Saccharomyces cerevisiae S288C: one gene and its partners. The protein of the gene in region 2 binds, or shares a complex with, the protein of the main gene of each other region. Each region holds a gene or a part of one and is shown on either strand. Other genes may lie near its edges.

Evidence for each region.
Region 1: RPC25 (region 2) and RPC11 share a complex: the UniProt entries of both Saccharomyces cerevisiae proteins name them as parts of the RNA polymerase III (Pol III) complex.
Region 3: RPC25 (region 2) and RPC34 share a complex: the UniProt entries of both Saccharomyces cerevisiae proteins name them as parts of the RNA polymerase III (Pol III) complex.
Region 4: RPC25 (region 2) and RPC53 share a complex: the UniProt entries of both Saccharomyces cerevisiae proteins name them as parts of the RNA polymerase III (Pol III) complex.

Annotation. Positions count from the first base shown.
Region 1 is NC_001136.10:546,737-550,187, forward strand, and holds RPC11 (DNA-directed RNA polymerase III core subunit RPC11), read right to left. Parts: upstream 1,575-3,451; coding exon 1,242-1,574; downstream 1-1,241. Other genes in the region: HEM13 (coproporphyrinogen oxidase), read left to right, coding at 1-892; amino acid transporter BAP3, read right to left, coding at 2,026-3,451. UniProt on the Saccharomyces cerevisiae protein: DNA-dependent RNA polymerase catalyzes the transcription of DNA into RNA using the four ribonucleoside triphosphates as substrates. Component of RNA polymerase III which synthesizes small RNAs, such as 5S rRNA and tRNAs.
Region 2 is NC_001143.9:175,117-178,840, reverse strand, and holds RPC25 (DNA-directed RNA polymerase III subunit RPC25), read left to right. Parts: upstream 1-2,359; coding exon 2,360-2,998; downstream 2,999-3,724. Other genes in the region: MRP8 (Mrp8p), read right to left, coding at 1-326; ribosome biogenesis protein LTV1, read right to left, coding at 669-2,060; proteasome regulatory particle base subunit RPT1, read right to left, coding at 3,225-3,724. UniProt on the Saccharomyces cerevisiae protein: DNA-dependent RNA polymerase catalyzes the transcription of DNA into RNA using the four ribonucleoside triphosphates as substrates. Specific peripheric component of RNA polymerase III which synthesizes small RNAs, such as 5S rRNA and tRNA.
Region 3 is NC_001146.8:633,684-637,849, reverse strand, and holds RPC34 (DNA-directed RNA polymerase III subunit C34), read left to right. Parts: upstream 1-2,552; coding exon 2,553-3,506; downstream 3,507-4,166. Other genes in the region: ESCRT-0 subunit protein VPS27, read right to left, coding at 1-864; SWM2 (Swm2p), read right to left, coding at 1,467-1,907; putative ammonium permease ATO2, read left to right, coding at 3,994-4,166. UniProt on the Saccharomyces cerevisiae protein: DNA-dependent RNA polymerase catalyzes the transcription of DNA into RNA using the four ribonucleoside triphosphates as substrates. Specific peripheric component of RNA polymerase III which synthesizes small RNAs, such as 5S rRNA and tRNAs.
Region 4 is NC_001136.10:181,712-185,852, forward strand, and holds RPC53 (DNA-directed RNA polymerase III subunit C53), read left to right. Parts: upstream 1-1,631; coding exon 1,632-2,900; downstream 2,901-4,141. Other genes in the region: rRNA-processing protein SAS10, read right to left, coding at 1-1,307; autophagy protein ATG9, read left to right, coding at 3,214-4,141. UniProt on the Saccharomyces cerevisiae protein: DNA-dependent RNA polymerase catalyzes the transcription of DNA into RNA using the four ribonucleoside triphosphates as substrates. Specific peripheric component of RNA polymerase III which synthesizes small RNAs, such as 5S rRNA and tRNAs.

The DNA of each region.
Region 1 (3,451 bases), on a different chromosome or scaffold from region 2:
ATCCATCGATACTGTTAAGTTCCACGCTGATACTTGGACCCGTGGTAACGATGGTGGTGGTGGTACCTCTATGGTTATCCAAGACGGTACAACTTTCGAAAAAGGTGGTGTTAATGTCTCCGTTGTTTATGGTCAATTGAGCCCAGCGGCCGTTTCAGCCATGAAAGCTGATCATAAGAATCTGCGTCTACCAGAAGATCCAAAGACTGGTTTGCCAGTTACCGACGGTGTCAAGTTCTTCGCTTGTGGTTTAAGTATGGTCATTCATCCCGTTAACCCACACGCTCCAACCACGCACTTAAACTACCGTTACTTCGAAACTTGGAACCAAGATGGGACCCCACAAACTTGGTGGTTTGGTGGTGGTGCTGATTTGACACCTTCTTACTTATACGAAGAAGACGGTCAATTATTCCACCAACTGCACAAGGATGCCTTGGACAAGCACGACACTGCTTTGTACCCACGTTTCAAGAAATGGTGTGATGAGTACTTCTACATTACCCACCGTAAGGAAACACGTGGTATTGGTGGTATATTCTTTGACGATTATGATGAACGTGACCCACAAGAAATATTGAAGATGGTTGAAGACTGTTTCGATGCTTTCTTGCCATCCTACTTGACTATCGTCAAGAGAAGAAAAGATATGCCATATACAAAGGAAGAACAACAATGGCAGGCCATTAGACGTGGTAGATACGTTGAATTCAACTTAATCTACGATAGAGGTACCCAATTCGGTTTGAGAACCCCAGGCTCTAGAGTTGAGTCAATTTTGATGAGTTTGCCTGAACATGCTTCATGGTTATACAACCACCACCCTGCTCCTGGTTCCAGAGAAGCTAAATTACTAGAAGTTACCACCAAACCAAGAGAGTGGGTTAAATAATTCAAGGTTCTTTAGCAGACCGATTTTATGATCTCAATGACAATGATGATTTAATTATTTCGACCACTTATTTATACATTTTTTTATCTATTTATTATACCTCCTTTACATAATTCTTCAAATTCAATTGATACAGGATCTCTATTCTTAAAAATATTAATTATTGCGTCCTATTTATGATGCAAGTTCACAGTACGTGCAGGATCAAAAATTATATCAGTATCTATTGCTCTAAAAATATGGCAGCAGCCTTCATTCTCAATATGCGATCATGCCTTCTAATCAAATTTTAAGATGTTTTTATTACTCTTTTTATTCTTAGAAAATTCATCTTATATTCAAGGACTTCTTAATTTTCCTTCCATCTATGACCACAGTTTACACACTTATAAAAGGTAGTCATCGGCTCATCAGCTGACCTAATTTGTAGTTGGAAAAAGTAAGCACTCTCACCACCACAAGTATCATAATTGGGACATTGGGTTTTGGTTTGATCCACATTGTCCCAACCACCACCAAGAACATCATCAACTTCCTTTCTTGGAAGTTTCTTCCTATCATAGATTTCTATACCCTCTATAGGAAACTCATATGGACATGAACGGCATGCTAATGTATATACACCACTATCGCCACTCGTTATCAGTAGCATATTGTTACACGAAGGACAAAACGAAAGCATCCTAAATTATGTATTTTACGTTTTACCAATGAATGCGAACTCTTTTGCTTATATAGCCATATAACGTATGCGTTTTCCAGAAAGAAGATTCTCGGTTATGCTTTTGGATAAAACTTTTCCTACTGTTCTTTTGAACTGGATTTGAATTTTATATCGATCATCTTGCCATGTAATAATAGATGTCCAAAAATTTCATCTGCCATTTTTTTATTTTCCCGTTCGTTCACTTGCTCTAGTTTTTTTTTTTTTTTTTTTCAATACTCGGATTTGAAAATGTTAATGGGAGTGGCGCTAAAAACCTTCATCTGTAGTTGAATGCTATGACATGAGCAACACAAAATCATTTAGACAACGTTGAGTAAGGTGGTTCGGTCCGAACAACAGTTTCATGCTTGTGTTACTTCGTTTATGAATATAATATACAAATATTTAAAATGCTATTTATTATGCACTAACACCAAAATTTGTAGACTCTGACGAATATTGAAGAGTTCTTTAACCTTTCTTTATTTTCTTCGTCCTCCTGCCTCATTATTTCAGGGTCGTAAACTCTTCTATGAAAGTCCAAGTCGATCTTGTCCAGTGGGTTTAAAAAGGTAAAATCTCTTTTGTAAACCATGTATCCAACATACATGAATATCCATAGCGGGGCAGCCAGATAACTCTCGAAGAATGCCTGAGCATCACACTTTCCGCCATTTCCTATTGGAGACAGTGCGACCCAAAATTGGGCCATAAAGACAAGCATATTGAAAAAAACCCCATAGTATGAACCCCATATACCGGTATTGGCCTTATAGCCGACTTCATCAAGTGATCTTCCTTGGACTTTCATCGCTTTTCTGAATCGAATGTGTGAAAGCATAATGCCTGACCATGTGAAAAGTTCACTCAAACCTGCAATGGCTGCCAACCATGTAAATGCTTGCTCTTCCTGTGGAGAACAGGCGACGAAGCCAACGACACCAACAAGAGAGCACACTACCAAGGCCCTTAAAGGTCTTCCCTCCCTATCAATATAGTTCAAAAATTTTGGAGCATAGCCCTGTTGAGCCAAGGAACACATTAATCTCGGTGCGGCATAAAGGGCAGAGTTCGCAACAGAGATGACTGATATCAAAATAACAGCATTAATGATATGGGGGATGACCCTAACCTTGTGAATAGAGGCTGCCAAGACATATGGTGAAGCGTGCGTTGCGGAGCCACCGGAACCCATCAATTGATCGTTATTGTGAGGAACATTGAACCCAATTAGAATCATTGTCAGCAAATAAATGATCAAAATACGATATACACTTCTCTTCGCGGCTACAGGAGTGGATTTTCTAGGGTTAGACTGCTCATTGATGGAAAGAACAAATAATTCAATACCACCGAAGGAGAAATATGCAGATACTAGAATATAACATATCCCTTTGAAACGAGTGGCACCGCTGCCTTCTGCAAATGAACCAGGGTCGCGCCAATATTTGCCGCCAATATAGCCGTCCACACCGGCTCCCCCACAATTGATGACGACTGATAAAATAATGAATCCTGCAACCATCAATATCTTACAGGAATTGAAGATAAATTCCGTTTCACCGTATGCCTTAACACCAAAAAAGTGGATAAACAATAAAAACACATAGAAAATGACAATGAATACATCAGCATTAATTGTGTCATTCCAGTACTTGACGGTCATGGAAGAAGTAATCAATTCCAACGGTAGCACAGTTAACCACTGAATGCAAAATAACCAAGTGGTCGCGAACCCAAACGACTTTGAAATAAAGATTGAATTGTATGCATTGAAGTTACCTGGAAGCGTCGGATAAGTGACACCCATCTCACCAGCCGCTTGGACCATAAAATACGTGACGAAGGACACC
Region 2 (3,724 bases):
TCATCATCATCTTTTTTCAAAGAGTTAACAAGTCTTCTGATAGACCTTTCCTCGATGAAATTTAGCTCACCCTGTAGTTCTTTGACTAATTCCACTAGATCTTCATTTGTGGCAAAATCAGTGGCATCGAATTGAGTAGCGGATCCTGATTTCTTCGAGATAGATTTAGAGAATTTCGAATCAAAATCAGTTACGTCGTGCTTTTGTTTATCTAACTGCAATTCCAGCACACGCTCTCCTGTCTTAGAGATAATCAGACTTTGCTTCTTCACTAAGTCTTGTAATTCAGAGACTTGCTTCTGCAGTAATTCAATTTCGTTAGACATTTTCTTCCTGCTATTTATTTATGTGTATTTACTTCCTTTCTTAAAATGTACTTTATCTGCGGAATACGAGTAGTAAGACAAGATATCTCAAACGGTTACTAATTTGAACGGCTCTTTGAAGCAATGCACGCCGGTTTTCTTTATACTAAAACAATATTTGAATAATGAAAATCGACCTCCTTCCTCCACCCCCTTTCTCCGAAATCCACAAAGAGCACCGCCGCGTTTCATAATTATTACCCGGTGGGCAGGATGTATTTTAGCATCAATGCATTCTAGGCTAAGTATACATGTCTACACAGTACTTGTAATGTAGGTGCTTTCTCATCTCATTCTACTCCTCTAAAATTTTAAGCTGCTTAGTGTATTGGTGACCTTCTCAAGTTTCTTTTTCTCTTGCCTTTCACGATTTCTTCTCTGAGACAGTTTACCTTTGCTTACTTCATCAGCAGCTTCCTTCAGCCTTTCAATTTCTTTATCTTTCTTAGCCAGTTTACGGCCACCACTCTCCAGTTCGTAATTGTCCAAAAAGTCATCAAGCATTGACTCAAAATCAGATCTTTCTGCTGACATGTCAAATGGTTGGTAATTTTGTTCTTCGTCCTCTTCTAGTTCTTCCTCATAATTTTCGTAACCATTGATGATTTGATCGTACTGATCATCCAGTACTGTCATCGTCTCTGTACGCGCAATGGCACTTGAACTCATGGAAAATCCAGATACATCTGACATGGCACCCTTTTTTTGACGGCTCTTTCTTTTCTTCTTCCCCGTCTTGCTTTTGTCTTGGATAGAGGGCAATTCGCCCAGCACATCTTCCTCTTCAGAGGGATTTACACTGTCTAAACCTGCATTAGAAAATTCATCATCCGAGTTATGCTTTTCTAGTATAGAGTTATCTTTTTGAAATCTTCGAACATCAGCTTGATAATCGATATTTTCCAAGTCCTCCAGGTTTTCGATGTTATCAAATTGCGCCATTTCCTTAACGTAGTTTTCATCTTCAAAATTTTCTACATTATCAATATCCCACTCATCAAACTCATCCTCGAATTCGTCTTCATCTTTTGCTTCACCGCTCCCTAGTAATTGTGCGAAAATGTCATCTTCCTTTTCTTCTTCTCCATAGTTATCGCCTTGAAGTTGTGTCTTTTTGCTGATGTCTTCAACCACAACATCATCATTAACAACATATGCTTCATCTTCTAAAGCTTCAAGCACCTCTCTTAATGCAGGATTCATATCAGGTTTGAAACCTCTAATTTCATCGGTGGTATCTTGTTGGTGTAGTAAATATTCTGGCTTTGCCATCCCTCTTTGAAACACAGGTAGCGCGTCATCCTTCTCAATTTCATCACGTCTATACTTAGGTTCGATGAATAAATCTTCAATGTTTTTTTTTTCGACCTTCTGTTCATTGCCTTTGGATGCTATAAAGATGGAGTTTTCAGGGTCGAGACCTATTGGCTTCAAATGTTGAGTATAATCGTATTCAGAATCATCAAAATTAATACCATATAAAGCTGCTTCTCCCACATGAGCCCTCCTACCCTTTGGTTTTGTTGAACTCACGTCTTTTTTTCGAAGATCTGCTTCTGGAGAAGTTTTATTTGGATTGGAGACAGGAACCAAAACGTGCGCAGAGGCATCTGTATCATAAAATGAAGGATCATCATGGGGTCTGTGTACCACCACGTACCTTTGGGAGTTTTTAGAGCTAAATTTCTTCGACATCTTCGTGCTTTTTATATTCCCCTTAAAGTCTTTGAAATACTATACTGGTTGCTCGTAGGATTCGGTAAGAACCCTGATTTAGATGCTCATAATATTCAGGCGATGCTCATCGCTTAAAATTTTTATTTGACAAATTTTCAGTCGCGTTATACGGATTAGTTAATTTCGTATCATAATAACGAATATTCAAGCCATGTGCAGAAATAGACGCAAGAAGCGTTATTCGGAAGAAACTATCGGGTAGTATAAAGACATTCTGTAGTACTATTTAAATTAGAAAATTCATTGAACAAGGTAATATGTTTATCCTTTCAAAAATCGCTGACTTGGTACGAATCCCGCCCGATCAATTCCATCGCGATACAATATCGGCAATCACACATCAGTTAAATAATAAGTTCGCCAACAAGATTATTCCCAATGTCGGTCTATGTATTACGATTTACGACTTATTAACCGTCGAGGAAGGCCAATTGAAGCCAGGCGATGGATCATCCTATATTAACGTTACATTTCGAGCCGTTGTTTTCAAACCGTTTCTAGGTGAGATAGTAACTGGATGGATTTCTAAATGTACAGCAGAAGGCATAAAAGTTTCACTGTTAGGTATATTTGATGACATTTTTATCCCACAAAATATGTTATTCGAAGGGTGCTATTATACCCCTGAAGAAAGTGCATGGATTTGGCCCATGGATGAAGAGACGAAACTATATTTCGATGTAAATGAAAAAATTAGATTCAGAATCGAAAGAGAAGTTTTTGTTGATGTGAAGCCAAAATCACCCAAAGAACGAGAATTGGAGGAAAGAGCTCAATTAGAGAATGAGATTGAGGGTAAGAATGAAGAAACTCCTCAAAACGAAAAACCTCCAGCATATGCCCTATTAGGTAGTTGTCAAACTGATGGCATGGGACTCGTTAGTTGGTGGGAATGATAGATAAGGACGCCACTGACTTCAATAAAACATTTAATAATAATAGTAACAGTAATAATGAGGATAATAATATATAATAAACGTGAATTTTCTTTAGCATTATATACGCTAATTCTTTCTCTATTTGAGGGGATACTCTCGTATCCTTTTTATCTCGATAGTTGTAGTTGTACTTGTTGTTTTTATTAACCCTTCTCATAATATATAATAAAAAAGTACATTGACGTCAATTATATTGCATATAACGCGATGTGGAACTAAACTTCTTGTATCCGCTAATAACTTTATCAACAGCCTTCAGGAAATCCTTTTCAGTAGCCACCTTTCTTCTTGCTCTAATGGCAAACATACCGGCTTCTGTGCAAACAGATCTTAATTCTGCACCGGTAGAGTTTGGACACAGTCTGGAGATAAGTTCCCATCTGATGCCACGTTCCACACTCATTGATTTAGAGTGAATACGGAAGATATTTGCACGACCTTCCAAGTCAGGTAATGAAAACTCTACCTTACGATCAATTCTACCGGGTCTCAATAAAGCTGGATCTAAAGTGTTGGGCCTATTGGTGGCAAACATCACTTTAATGTTACCACGAGGGTCAAACCCGTCTAACTGTGTAATCAGTTCTAACATAGTTCTTTGAACTTCATTATCACCACCAGCACCATCATCAAAACGAGCACCACCAACAGCGTCGATTTCATCGAAGAATATAATGCAAGCCT
Region 3 (4,166 bases), on a different chromosome or scaffold from region 2:
TTCTACAACGGGGACAATAGGCTCGCTACTAGCGCTATTTCTAGATTCTTTCAAGGAGAGTTCTATTGCTTTCCTTATCAGCTCTTCTTCATCCTCAGGAGTTGAGTAGTCCCTGTCCTTCTTTCTTTTATGGCGATGTTTTTTAGATTTTTTACTGTCGTCATGTCTCTTCAAATCGTAATCTTCAAAGCAGCTATCACATACTCTGACTGGCTCATATATACCCAAATCAGGTAAGGGTATACTATTTGATGAGTGTTCTTGGCAGAAAACTCCACCACAGGAACGACAGTGATGTTTCCTATTTAGTAGAGAAAACTTTTTGGAGCAAATCATACAAGCATCAGAATCAATCCAATCTGCGGGCGTCTTCGAGTCAAACATTGCAGTCGGAGAATTGGAAAGTGTTAGCTTTTCAGGGAATTTAATGCCACGAGAGATTAATTTATCATAAACTTTTGCCACATAGTTAAGTTGCGAATCATTTTTGAAGGCTACGTATAGTTCATATAATATGGTCTTTACCAGCTCAGAAAGTTCTTCGTTGCTATCTTCTCTTAAAATGACATGTTCCATGGTATCCATGAACTCTCTGGAACAAATTTCCTTAATAAAAGGCGTTCCACCATTTTTTACACATATATTGGTAAGCTTCCAGGAAGACAATTGGGTATTTGGATTATCGGCCGTATTGAGAATCCTTTTCTTTATACAACGCATAGAATCTTTGGGATTTACCCTTCTAGATCTTAACACATCTGAAATTTCCAACGCTATGGGGAGATCAAGGTCACCGTTGGGAATGCTCTCACTAGTGGCTTGTTCTATTAATGCGTCTAACTCACTTGGCGTGCTAACGGACATACTGTTCTTAGTTCTTTACTCACTACTCATTCACCTTAGCAAAAAAAAATCTTGATAATTTTACACCCTCTATTTTTAAATTCCCTCTGCTAATGATGATTATTTCAGGTATCATCGAAATTTTCAGAAAAGGAGGCCGAGCAAGATGATTCTGCTGCTCCGCAAGAAATAGCAGTAGCGTATGTATTACCAAAATCCAAAATCTTGTGAAGGTTACTTTATATAAGTGAGGCTCAAAGGACACCAGGCGTCTATAAATGTATACAAAGTAGCTGTTTTGACATATTACCAAAAAATCGGGAAAATACCTAGGTTGGTTAATGATGAACTCGAAAGAGCCTTAAGAAAAGTTGATTCAACAACATATGGTGTATGGTCGCTCCGAACAGTTTGCTTTTGTCTAGTACATAGTTACTGGTGAACTTTCCTGGATATGCGCGTGCTAACTAGAGCATTTTATGTTGATAATTAATTTAAATTGCATGATACAGATTACGAGACGAAAGATAGTCGATTATATATCTTTCAATCTTGGTTTAGTTTGGCAGCAAAAGCTAAAAGGTAGGCTCCGTGCATATTAGATGAGTGAACACACTTTAGGTTTATTCTTGTATGAAATCATTCACTTCGACCTCTTCCAAGATCAAATTCTCTAATGGATTACTTATGAGTTTACCAAATTCGTCAAATTCCAACCTGACTACATTCAAATTCTTAACATATGAGACATCAATCTCATCCTTAATGATATTATCAGCAGGCGGAGGATCCTTCAACTTTTTATATTCCTTGCCCTTCAAAACATACCACAGGTTAAGGCATCTTCTTATAATTTCCGGATTGACTGTCTTCGCACCTTCTTCGTTCCATTTATGGAAATTAGAACGACAAATTTTTAGAGCTCTAGACTTTAAATGTGCATTTCTTGCTATATTCTGAAAATATGGCTCCAATACTGCGGAGTATTCCTTCGGAATTCGATTCAAGTCCGTTAATCCGTCTAGTAAACCTTCTAAGTTAGAGTAATTGTATAAATCTATCATCCGAGGAGATCCTCTTCTCTTTGCTTATGCATTTAGTCTCCTTTGATTTCTCAAGTTTATAATTTTTTTCTTTTTTTCTCACTTTTTAATACCTTTTAATAGCCGCTATTTTTTTAATTTTAGTTAAGTTTTCTTCTAATTTTGAATATAAAAAGTCATCTTATAACTAGTACATTTTATATGAAGGAGTTTCTATAGGTTTTAAAGGTGTGCAAAAAAAAAAAACAGCGTTAAAAGGCTACGAGTAAAACCAGATTCTTGGAAGACTTTGCTTACATGTGAGCAATTGAGAAGAAAAGGCAGGGGGCATTAAACGTTACGGCTACGGTTCGTCCGCACTACTCACTACATCGCCTACCGTAGCATACCTACGCTCACCCATTGCCATACCCACAGTAAATATGTAAATCGTTTATTAAAATGTTTAAGCCCTTGTTTGGTAGTATATTTAGAATCCAACTAGATGATATTGCAATTATTTAATCTTTTTGTTTTTAAGTAACATCGCGCACAGGCACTTTTTTTTTCCTTCAAATCTTTTATTGTATTAAAAATTTTCAAGTTGATTTGCGATGTATTTGTGAGATGAGATCATTACAGAAAATCTTAATCAAGTGAAGAATTTACAGCGCCAATATCCTGAATATGAGTGGAATGATAGAAAATGGGTTACAGCTATCGGACAATGCTAAAACCTTACATAGCCAGATGATGTCGAAAGGAATAGGCGCATTATTTACACAGCAAGAACTCCAAAAACAAATGGGAATCGGGTCGTTAACAGACTTGATGTCCATTGTACAGGAATTGCTAGACAAGAACTTGATCAAATTAGTAAAACAAAACGACGAATTAAAATTTCAAGGTGTCTTAGAATCTGAGGCGCAAAAGAAAGCCACCATGTCGGCTGAAGAGGCACTGGTATATTCTTATATCGAGGCTAGCGGTAGAGAAGGGATATGGTCCAAGACTATCAAGGCAAGAACCAATCTCCATCAGCATGTAGTTCTTAAATGCTTGAAGAGTTTAGAATCCCAAAGATACGTGAAGAGTGTTAAGAGTGTAAAGTTTCCCACAAGGAAAATCTACATGTTGTACAGCTTACAACCCTCTGTGGACATCACAGGAGGTCCATGGTTCACAGATGGAGAGCTGGATATAGAATTTATCAATAGTTTATTGACTATTGTTTGGAGGTTCATATCAGAGAACACCTTCCCTAATGGCTTCAAGAATTTCGAAAATGGACCCAAAAAAAACGTCTTTTATGCTCCAAACGTAAAAAATTACTCTACCACACAAGAAATTTTGGAATTTATTACAGCGGCACAAGTGGCCAATGTCGAGTTAACCCCTTCAAATATCAGATCTTTGTGTGAAGTCTTAGTGTACGACGACAAGCTGGAAAAAGTCACGCATGACTGCTATAGAGTGACCTTAGAGAGCATTCTACAAATGAACCAAGGTGAGGGCGAGCCGGAGGCAGGTAATAAGGCTTTGGAGGATGAAGAAGAATTTTCCATCTTTAACTACTTCAAGATGTTTCCGGCTTCAAAACACGACAAGGAAGTGGTCTATTTCGATGAATGGACAATTTGAAGTTCTTGACTACCCCTATCTCACACTAGTACGTAATTCAATGTATCATTCGTATTGTAAGTAGATAGAGACGCAATACAGGAAAGCTGACCTTCCTTCCAATCACCACGGCTGAAATGCTTTGTTGACCAATTACGGACGCTTAAGAGCGGACGCGGCTGGAACGGCTCCATCCTAAATCGGCGGAGGGAGAACTCCGATACCAGCCGACATGGCAATAATAGTGACAGTAGATGCTACCAGCCCCGCAATAATTTCACAGTAGATCATCAACAGTCTCCTCATTTCTGGAAATGATCAGCAACTTCGACGGATTTAACTCTCAAGCAGTTACGCACTCCGAGAACAGCCGTGATCATCTTTGAACAAGCAAAATATATAAAGCAGGAGAACTGTCCTACCTAGAGCTAGAATAGCCATAACTAACTATGTAACATTCTACAGATCAATCAAAAACAATCTTCAATCACAGAAAAAAATAAAAGGCATGTCTGACAGAGAACAAAGCAGCGGCAACACCGCTTTTGAGAACCCTAAGGCACTCGATTCTTCCGAGGGTGAGTTCATCTCTGAAAACAACGATCAGAGCCGCCACTCGCAAGAGTCCATATGCAAAATATATACTGCGGGCAAAAACAACGAGTATATTTACATCGGCCG
Region 4 (4,141 bases), on a different chromosome or scaffold from region 2:
CCTTTGAATCTATCCGTCTTTTTATTTTCTTGTTGATCAATTTTCGAAGTATAGAAACGCAAAGTTCTTCTACGAGCTTTTTTGTCTTGTGCGTCCACATCAGCAATCTCAGATTCAATGAAATCATCAGCTTCAGGCATTGATGATGTTTTCGGTTTAGAATGCAGACGTGATTGTGCTACGTACTCTTCAAAATCGTCAATATCAACATCTTCTTCTTCTTCTTCTTCATCGCTTTCTCTTTCTTCTTCATCAATTTCTTGCTTTTGTTTTCCTCCATCCTCTGCATCAGAATCTTCACTGTTTTGCAACTCATTCAGCTTCTTTTCGTTAAAGGCCTCAATGTTTGCGGTTTCTTCACTTTCAGAACCATCTCCTTCATTCACATCAAAACTAGATGGCAATTCGCTGGCTTGCCTCCAAATCTCTTTTGTCGTTAAAATCTTTTCCATGACCGGATGTCCCTTCATAGATGTGAAATCTTCATTATTATGGAGTTCGTGCAACAAGATACTATAGTAACATGATATTGTGCCTAGGTAACTTCCAAGTGCAATTAGCTTTAATTTATTGAACTCATTTTCCTCAGATTTCTTTAATTCGTCAAACTTTGGAGCTAATTCTGTGAATTCTTTTGAAAGTGGAGCAAATTCAGGAAACATTGTCCTTAAATAGTTATCCCTTGCTTCGTCATCCATATTTAGAATATCCGTTATGGAAGTTTTAGTATCAGCCTGCTTGGTCGAGTTCTTAAATTCACCCATGTCAAATTCTTTGGCACTTTTGACCCACTCTTCTTCTTCTTCTTCATCTAAGTAATCGTTCATATTAAGTTCTTCCAGATGCTTCTTTTGTTGTCGTAAAGCTTCCTTTTCTATTTCCTTAGCAGCTTCGTCATCATCTAAATCATCAGCCCCATAATATTCTCCTTTTGTGGACCCCCAGGCATTCTCGTTGTCTAACATACCATTCTCTTCATCTTCCTCAGGAAGCTGGTCAGTTTCTAAGTTTCTACCAAATATTTTCTTATAGGCTGCAGCACCATCTAGTTCCTCTTCCTCTTCTTCTTCCTCATCTTCTCTTTCATCTATTGACTCATCATCTTCATCCATGGCTAAGACTTCTTCCTCATCTTCGTCTTCTAACAGAGAATGGTCATCATCTTTATTACTGTCGCCAAAGGTGGATTGTCCAAGTAAAACCTTTTCCCTTTTAGAAGCAAAATCATCAACTTCGTTTAAACCATACGGATTAATCTCATCCCCAACTTCAGAGGTCTTAGTTCTGTTTGAGCCTTTGCGTACCATATTATTCTATACACCCACTCTAATATGTTTTCTCTTCCTCCAAAACTTTTTGTATAAAAGCATCAGTGAGATGAGCTATGATGAGATGAGCTTCATTATTGAATTTTTTTTCATTGCAGAAGCGCAGTTTGAAAATTTTTCATCCGCCCTGCAAAGTCCAATTTTTTGATCAGCAGAAGATAATGACCAGAGAATTATGGTATTCAAGAGAACAATTCAAAAGAGGACAGCTAGAAAGATATTGAGGTATTTATAATTTGCTAGACTAACCGAAAGTCGAAGCGTAATCTTGTTTTTTATTAAGCGGGATAGCATTCATTAAGTATGAGCAGTAATAAAGGAAATGGGCGCTTGCCATCATTAAAAGATTCCTCCTCCAATGGAGGAGGATCTGCCAAGCCCTCATTAAAGTTTAAACCAAAAGCAGTTGCAAGAAAGTCCAAGGAAGAAAGAGAAGCAGCTGCGTCCAAAGTAAAGCTAGAGGAGGAATCTAAGAGAGGTAATGACAAGAAACATTTCAATAACAAGAATAAAAGAGTAACCGGCGCTGGCGGCCAGCAAAGGCGAATGGCCAAATACTTAAATAACACACACGTTATCTCTAGCGGTCCATTGGCGGCTGGGAACTTTGTAAGTGAGAAGGGTGATTTGAGAAGAGGATTCATCAAATCAGAAGGAAGCGGGTCATCTCTTGTGCAAAAGGGCCTGGAAACTATTGACAATGGTGCTGAGAGCTCTGAGAATGAGGCAGAAGACGATGATAATGAAGGTGTAGCGTCCAAATCTAAGAAGAAGTTCAATATGGGAAAAGAATTCGAGGCACGCAATCTCATAGAGGACGAAGATGACGGCGAAAGTGAAAAGAGCAGTGACGTCGACATGGATGACGAAGAATGGAGATCTAAACGGATTGAACAGTTATTCCCTGTGAGACCTGTCCGCGTAAGACACGAAGACGTTGAAACTGTCAAAAGAGAAATACAAGAAGCTCTTTCAGAAAAGCCAACTCGTGAACCAACCCCCAGTGTGAAGACAGAGCCTGTCGGAACCGGATTACAATCTTATTTGGAAGAAAGAGAAAGGCAAGTCAATGAGAAACTGGCAGATCTTGGACTTGAAAAGGAGTTTCAATCGGTTGATGGGAAAGAAGCGGCCGCTGAGTTGGAATTATTAAATGCAGATCATCAGCATATATTACGAAAACTAAAGAAAATGAATAATAAACCAGAAAGATTCATGGTATTCCAGTTACCTACTAGGTTACCAGCTTTTGAAAGACCCGCTGTGAAAGAAGAAAAAGAAGACATGGAAACCCAGGCTAGCGACCCTTCAAAGAAGAAGAAGAATATTAAAAAGAAGGACACGAAGGATGCTTTGTCTACTAGAGAACTTGCCGGCAAGGTTGGGTCTATACGGGTTCACAAATCTGGAAAACTTTCCGTGAAAATTGGAAATGTGGTGATGGATATTGGCAAAGGTGCCGAAACCACATTTTTACAAGATGTTATAGCATTAAGTATCGCTGATGATGCATCCTCAGCGGAACTTCTAGGCCGTGTGGACGGTAAAATAGTAGTCACACCTCAAATCTAATCGCACTCGCATCTGTCGAGTATATAAATGAATATACACAGTCATAAATACTTCTAGAACAAATTACACTAATTAAGATGCTTAGATTCCCATTCAAAAGGTACTATTGACGTCTTGTCTTCTACAATTTCTCATCCTCTTTGAACATTGGTAATGTTATTCTAGTTATTGTTACCCAGTTTCGGAACTTTAGGGGAGCCACACTTTAAACAAAAAGAAGCGCCATAACCACCGTGAAGTAATGAGTATCTCACTTTGATAAGAAGACATTTAAGAACAGCCTGAAATATCAAAATCACGGAATTATTAGGTTATGGAGAGAGATGAATACCAGTTACCCAACTCTCATGGGAAGAATACTTTCTTATCGCGAATATTTGGTTTACAATCGGATGAAGTTAATCCTTCTCTTAATAGCCAGGAGATGAGCAACTTCCCTTTACCAGACATAGAGAGAGGCTCATCTTTATTGCATTCTACTAACGACAGCCGCGAAGATGTAGATGAGAATGACTTACGTGTTCCTGAGTCTGACCAAGGCACTAGTACAGAAGAAGAGGATGAAGTAGATGAAGAGCAAGTCCAGGCGTATGCTCCACAGATTAGTGATGGATTGGATGGAGACCACCAGCTAAATTCTGTAACGAGCAAAGAAAATGTACTTGAAACGGAAAAAAGCAATTTAGAAAGACTGGTTGAAGGCTCTACCGATGATTCTGTGCCCAAAGTCGGACAGCTTTCGTCAGAAGAAGAAGAGGATAATGAGTTCATAAATAATGATGGATTTGATGACGATACGCCCCTTTTTCAAAAAAGCAAGATTCATGAATTTAGCTCTAAGAAAAGCAATACTATAGAGGACGGTAAACGACCTTTGTTTTTCAGGCATATCTTACAGAATAACCGCCCTCAACGTGATACCCAAAAGCTATTTACTTCGTCGAACGCCATTCACCATGATAAGGACAAGAGTGCAAATAATGGTCCCCGTAACATTAATGGTAATCAAAAGCATGGCACTAAATACTTTGGTAGTGCTACACAACCTCGGTTTACCGGTTCGCCCTTAAATAATACAAACAGGTTCACTAAATTGTTTCCATTAAGAAAGCCAAATTTACTGAGCAATATATCCGTTTTAAACAATACCCCGGAAGATAGAATCAATACGTTGAGCGTGAAAGAGCGGGCTCTGTGGAAATGGGCAAACGTAGAAAACCTCGATATATTTCTTCAAGATG